Danio rerio: one gene and its partner. The protein of the gene in region 1 interacts with the protein of each later gene in a biochemical or structural test. Links are inferred from orthologs where the notes say so. Each region holds a gene or a part of one and is shown on either strand. Other genes may lie near its edges.

Region 1 (3,600 bases):
CCATTTTGAGGCCGACCACAACGTGACATAGGAGTGAGGTTTCCCCGTCCACAGAATTGACTGACAGCCGTGAATTAACATCCATAGTAATGCGTTTAATCATATCAACAAGACAGGACGTGCGCAAAGCAACTGGGATTAAAAGATCTGTTCAGCTCTCTGTGATCATCAGTCATCATCAAATATGATAAAGAATAAGTTTTACAAGTTTAAAACGTTTTTAAAACAGTGCATGTTTGTAATAAAGTAGGTTAAAGATGGTAAAATCGCATTAATTCATCACCGCAGCCGCATATCAGTACAATTGTAAAAGAAGGCGCTTCAATCCCGGTTTGTGGACGTTAAATAAGCTTTATTTTGTACATTAACATAACGGATATCAGCTATACAGCAGTGGATATTAGCATGTACCCTGTCACATTTGCGTGCAAAAACAGAGCAAAGTTAAACGCGTGAGCTGTGTGTGTGTGTGTCTGTGTGTGAACTTTGTAAGGACACTGTGTGTGACTCGTTGTTGCAGAAAGGCTTGAATTAACTCCACAACAAATACATCCAATAATCATTGGGAAAGTTCTTACTGTAGTGTTTCTCACAAACCTTACGTGAGGTCTGCTTCCTTCATATCTGTAACTGTGCTGTTTATCTGACAAAGCCAGAGATGAGGACACTGACAATTTGCCATCGTAATGGCATCATCGGGGGGGTAGGGTTGTCCGGTTATATATGTTTGTGAAAAGCGGGGGGTTGGGGTTTGGGGACAGAGACGGAGTTTGACAGAGTGTGCGCGATGTGTGTGAAGAGCGAGGAGGGATCCGAGAGTCTCAAAGCAGTTGTGGGAGACTCCCGGAACTTCCGGGAGACTTGGGATGTCTAAATATCACGTTTAACAACTACAGTGAGACGCAATCCAGCGGTACATCCTTCATAAACTGTCTGACATGCTCTGCTCACTGAAGCTCAAACGAGCGCATGATAGTGTGTGTGTGTGTGTGGCTGTCTGTGTGTGTTTTCAGCGGACGGAGGGCTGTTCAGAAATGCTGGGTAAAACACGGTGTGGATGTGGATCATTTTCGTTCTAAAATGCCATTTTAACACTAAGACGTATTAATGTAAACAGGGCCTAAGTGTGTGTTTATCGCGAGCGGATTTGCGACGAGGGCAATCGTGTTGTCTATTGGCCATCAGCGATGGACAACGGCATCATCTATCGGCCCAACCCTACTACATAGTGTTCAGAGCGGACAGTCCCAATAGTCTGAAAGGTCTCATAAATAATCAGAAGTGTTTTGAGCTGAAACGTTACAGACAGACTCTGGAGACACAAAAGACTTCTCTTAAATCTTGAAAAAGGGGTAAAATAGGTGCCTTTTAAATAAACTTTTGTTAAAACTTTTATTGAGATGGAAGGATTGAAGGATGTTGGTCTGATTGGGCAGGTTTACATGAATACAGGAAAATTAAGACCTGTTTAACATGATTTAGGACTTACAATACAATGTTTCAGTGAATTTAGGGCCTAAAAGTTTGGATTTTGAGACATTTTAAGACCCCCACGGACACCCTGTAGAATGGAACAAAACTATTTACCGACATATGTACACATTTATTTAACAACATACTCAGTTTACATGTCAATTTGCACATAATATAGCTTTACACACATTATTGCCTAATGTAATATGCATTTGTTTTCTCTATTTACTTATTTAATTCCTTTATTATCAGTGTTTTTGTCCTGTCACTGCCATTTTGATACACTCTTCTGTCACAAAAGCAAACTCCTTGTATGTAAAATCTTACCTGGCAGTGGCAATAAAGCTCTTTCTGCTTCCATATGGAGATACATCCTAATCTAATTATCTTCAAGCACTTGTTTTAACACACATGTTGTTGTTATAAGCAATAAAATGCATAATAATACGATCCTGCATTAGGATCCAGTATAATGTGTGCTGAATATTTGAGACCAGCAGCTCAGGTGTGTGTGTGTGTGTGTGTGTTGATGTACCTGATGGTGTGTCTCTCTCTCCACGTTCTCGCCGTTCACCTCCACCACACGGTCACCCGCGCGCAGTCCCGACGCCTCCGCCGGGGACGCGCGTTCCACTTTCCGTATGTACTGTCCGGTTTTTCCTTTCTCTCCGTGCAGATGAAACCCATAGCCGTTCTCTCCTTTCTTCATTACGCACAAGCGAGGCTTCAAATCGCTTGCCATTGTATTCCGCCGTTGCCTTCACATTCACAAACTTGCAACACAATCCATGCGCGATTTCCCAAGCAAAGAAAAATAAATAAATAAAGCGGAAACTTACGTAAAATGCATTCGCAAAGGTTTATAAACGCGCATCGCTGCCGTATGCCGATGTGTTTACAATAACGCGCATGCAACAATTAAAACAGATATGAAGGCAGAAGACTCTCGTGTCCAAAAGCGCTCGCGAGGAATTACATGCAAAAGTGATAGCGCTAAAAGCAGACTGTGCAACTACCTGTGGATGTTCACAGACGCATCCAAAACTCCTCCATGAGACATTCTGCCCACAGAGAGAGAGAGAGAGAGAGAGAGAGAGAGAGAGAGAGAGAAATGCTGTCCACTGAGAAACTGCGTGGCGTGAAAAAAGACCGCCCATAAATAAGCGACAATACAGATGAGCAGAGAAAGAGGCTTATTTGACCCTCATTAATGTATGTAAACAATGTCAAATAGCAGTTATTGATTAAGGAATCATGTATGTTTATTTTTTTACATAATTTTTATGAACAACTGGTAAAAACTAAATGGGAAAAAATATATATGCACATACATGCAGTACCCATGCATATAAACAGAATTATTAGCCCTATCCCCCAATCTTTGCCATGATGACAGTAAAAAATATTTGACTGGATATTTTTCAAGACACTTCTATACAGCTTAGTGACATTTAAAGGCTTAACTAATTAAGTTGGGGTAATTAGGCAAGTCATTGTATAACAGTGGTTTGTTCTGTAGACTATCGAGAAAAAATATAGCTTAAAGGGGCTAATAATTTTGACCTTCAAATGGTTTTAAAAAAATTAAAAACTGCTTTTATTCTGGCCGACATAAAACAAACAAGACTTTCTCCAGAAGAAAAAATATTATCTGACATACTGTGAAAATTTCCTCGCTCTCTTAAACATCATTTGGGAAATATTTTAAAAAGACAACAAAAAAAAAAGAAAAATTCAAAGGGGGGCTAATAATTCTGACTTCAACTGTAAATATTTATGTAAATGTAGATATTACACACACACACACACGTATATATATATATATATATATATATATATATATATATATATATATATATATATATATATATATATATATATATATATAATAACTTAACCAGTTGTGTTAAATATTTGGTCCTTTGTTTGGTCATGTTTAACCTTTATTTGGTTATTTATTTTATTTGGATATATATTTTTATTTGGTTATCTACATTAATAACTCAACCAGTTGGGTTAAAATTTTTAATTTCAACAGTCAACTGATTTAACTGACACAGAACAGCTGTATTCTTTTAATAGTTTTGTATTTTTCTATTTTAATATTTTTGAAAACTGTAGGTTATT
Region 2 (3,846 bases), on another chromosome or scaffold:
AAAATCACGCAGCCAGTTTAAGAAGTAAACAGCCCTTCCTAACTAGAGGTTAAGTATAAGTCTGATTTAAAAAAAGAATCTCTCAATCTCTTTTCAACCACTAAGGTAAACTCTTCGACTGGCCTACACTGAAATGACGTGAAAAATGGGACAAAAAATGATTTTAACCAAAAATAAAACATAGTTTGAGATAATTGTGGTTTTGGTTTAAAGTTTTTGACACAAAAGGGTAAAGGTATGGGTAGAGTTTTGGGGTAGTAGGTAGATTCACATTCATTCGCTGTTTCTTTCCCCTTTTTTATTCAGTGTTGACAAGGGAGGGATGGACAAATTGAGGATTGACGAAGGTAAATCCATCGAAATCAGCCTGGTCGATGTTGGCAATAACCAGCTCGTCAGGAGGGGTCAGTTGTGGCTGTGTGCGAGTGAAGAACTTGTCAAAGTTTTCTGCCCCCTTTCCACACTATAAAACAAAAAAGAAAATGAAATAATATTGTTTGACAAATCTGTAACATACAATAGGATTACACACAGAAAATATAATTTTTTTAAGCACAGATCACATAGATAAAAGCTGGCAATTTAGATATTGCACAATAGACCCTTTTCACATTTTCAGATTTCTCAGTAGCAGAAGGGAAAACTTAGAGCCCAGTGAATGGGAGGGCACAACAAATAATCTTTTTCTTATTTGCTCAAATAATAAAAGAAAAAAAAACCCCTCAATTATTTTGTATAGATGCTTAGAAAAAGGACTGATGACCGAAGCCAAAGGAGAGAACAACATCAAATTTATTTTCCTGCACCATAGATGCTGCATTAGAAACAACTCGCACAAGCGGTAATTTGTTTTTTGTAATGTGAAGCAAAGATAATATAATGCACACATAAATACATATAAATGTTCATACCTTAAAAAAAAAATCTAAATATTAAAAAGCCTCTATTATGGGTTTTTGAAAATGATCTTCAATGCAGTATGTAACAGAGCTCTAAGTGAAGTGAAATAACCAGCTAAGGCTTAAATTTTAAAGTGCACAGTGTTCAAAACTATTGATTCATCTATAAAAGAGTAGACTCGTAGTAGTTTGAATGAATCGATCCGGTAATGAGTCTTTAGCCATGTTGACGTGACGTCGATACCGAACTCAAGCCCCGCCCATGCAGACCCAGGAAAATTTAAACACCCGGCCCCACCCACAAACACTATAGCAGATCCCGAATGAATCATGTCTCGAAGATGCTGTGCTCTGAAGTGTGAGGGTTAGCGTTATTTTCTCTACCCAAACATGTGAAGAGGCTTTGAAGAGTCAGTAGTTGAAGTTGATTTTTGTAAAAATACCTCAGCATTGTAGCCCCAGCTTTGTGCTGTGTTCTCGTCATTTTTCTGACAAGTGCTTTAGCAATCTACACTCTTACAACGGGGGATTCCTAGGCCGTTTGTTAAAGGAAGGACTAGAAAAGACTACTGATGTATGGGACTTTGTCAGAGCTTGATATGAACTTTACAGTACACAGTTCATGGACCAGTTTCTTTTTCCATTTCACAAGTGTAAGTAAGTGTGATTAAAATGGTTGCCCCCTTGTTTTCTCTAGCTAGCAAATTATGTATTTAATTGTGTTTTGTTACTTGTAACCACTTGTAGTGTATCTGGTTAACTCTTTATAATCTTATATCATGTCTAAACCACATTTAAAACGTGATTCGTGCCGCTTTGTTGACAGATTTAAACTAGTTTGTGAGCTCGCAATCTACTGCCGTTTGTCGTTGCCACCGTCAGCGGTTCTTACATACATGTGGCGGTCAAGTTTCAAAATAGTTCAGCTTTTGCCACTGTGTGGATTAATATTGAATGTGTGTCACTGTTTTTATTTATGGTTATGAATAGAGCAATATGCTGGTGTTAAACTGCATTGCTTTAATGCACTCCAGAACTGGGTTCATACATTCTATCTGCACTCTACGTTACCTCAAAATTGTTAATAACTGTGGTGGGTGTTTCTCTCTGTTTCGCTCTGAACGCAGTTGACCAATCACAACAGACTGGTCATCGGACCAATCAGCGCAGATTAGCTTTGCGCTAAAGAGGGGTTTGGGAACAAATGAATCGCTGAACGAATGGGATTATTAGGTCAAAATAAATGCATATTATAAGACAATGGAAGTGCTGTTTGACCTTGCATGCATATCAGCCTGTTGTTGGAGACCCCCCAAAACTAACAATACCCTATTTAATGCATAATAGGGGCTCTTTAAAAACTTTCAAGGATTTAGATGCTGATGACTGCTAAACACATCATAACAGGCTTGTAAAAAGGGTCCATATACTTACTGATTTGTCTGTGGTTGGAAAAAAGATACTTTTAAGTGTTTAGTATGTAGGAAATATGCAATGTTATATTTATTCTTCTGTTCCCAATTGCTTCATGTCCAATGCACAGATTAACACTCCTCAGATTTCAGATTATATGCCCTACTTCCTCTTCATCTGGATGATGCATTGCTCAACTGGTTTGGAGGACACAGCTGTGGAAGCCAAACATGACAGTACCTTTGCCCATGATTAGTTAAACTAAGTGTGAATGTAATATGAAATAGTATTTATTTGTTAGATTCTTTAGAATCAATGGGGAGCTTTCATTCCTTCTGTTTTCTATGATAATATCGCAAATTTGACTCTCTAAATACCTGACACATAACCTAGTTAGTTAGTCATTACATTAATACCTGACACTTAATTGCTATTTAGTTCATTCCCTTATACAATGTACAGCGGGGAAAATAAGTACTGAACAAGTAATATTTCTAAAGTAGCTGATGACATGGAATTCAACCTAATTTTGGTAAAAAACCAAACAATACAAACATACCTGTAAAAAAAAAAATCTGAAAAACGAGTTGTGTTATAACAATGAAATGACACAATAAAAGAAATGTATTCAAATGTATTTACTACTTTATATAAAAGTTTTTTTTTAAGATTAAAGATGCCTCTCATATGGAGAATGAAGTCACATGAATAGTTCAGGTGTGAGTTTTCAACAAAGTGTAAAAATCCTGATGGTTCTGTGGGTCTCGTCTTCCAAATCTGATCTTTAATTTGTATTTTATATTAGATTTAAGTCAGGTGATTGGCTGGGGCCTTCTAGAGCTTGATTTTCTTTCTCTGAAACCATTTGAGAGTTTCCTTGGCTGTGTTTGGGATCAATGTCGTGACGGAATGTCCACCCTGGTTTCATCTTCATCATCCGGGTAATGTAGATGATGGACTGAATCAACTAATAATAATATACAGTGATGAAGGGCAGTATACTATTATATTTCATTTTATTATGCAAAACTTAATATATGGATTTCTTTGGATGGTACCAACATCTGAGAAAAAATCTAAATCAACAGCACGTTTAGCAATATGTATTTTGAAAAAAAAAATGACGATGTGTTCAATACTTATTTTCCCAGCTCTATGTATTCAGTGCTACTTAATGGGTTAGTTCACCAAAAAAATTAAATAGTCAATAATTATTATTTTCTCATGTCGTTCCAACCGCCTGAGACCTTCATTCATCCTTGGAAAACAAACTACGCTTTTTTAGAGGATATCTGAGAACTCCCTGATCCCCCATAATGTTGATAGCAACAGTTCAACATCCAGAAAAATACCCAAAACAATCCATGTACTGTATTTTTTGTAGTTCAATACAACTATTATCAATCTATTAAGATAATATTATCATATTATCAATGAGAATGCTTTATGAGCGCATATAAGAAAAATAACTTTACTCAACATTTCTCTTCCACCGTGTCAGTATAGGGAGCAAGTTCACGAGAGCTCTTTATGG

Evidence for each region.
Region 2: the proteins of Na(+)/H(+) exchange regulatory cofactor NHE-RF2 (region 1) and prkcaa form a complex in vitro, tested with the Homo sapiens proteins (2 studies listed by BioGRID and IntAct, with this or other methods). The link is inferred for Danio rerio from reciprocal best matches to the Homo sapiens genes NHERF2 and PRKCA.

The regions. Positions count from the first base shown.
Region 1 is NC_133178.1:11,799,352-11,802,951, reverse strand, and holds the start of Na(+)/H(+) exchange regulatory cofactor NHE-RF2, read right to left. Parts: upstream 2,537-3,600; 5' UTR 2,216-2,536; coding exon 2,009-2,215; intron 1-2,008.
Region 2 is NC_133181.1:19,846,711-19,850,556, reverse strand, and holds the end of prkcaa (protein kinase C, alpha, a), read right to left. Parts: intron 464-3,846; coding exon 299-463; downstream 1-298. UniProt on the Homo sapiens protein: Calcium-activated, phospholipid- and diacylglycerol (DAG)-dependent serine/threonine-protein kinase that is involved in positive and negative regulation of cell proliferation, apoptosis, differentiation, migration and adhesion, tumorigenesis, cardiac hypertrophy, angiogenesis, platelet function and inflammation, by directly phosphorylating targets such as RAF1, BCL2, CSPG4, TNNT2/CTNT, or activating signaling cascade involving MAPK1/3 (ERK1/2) and RAP1GAP.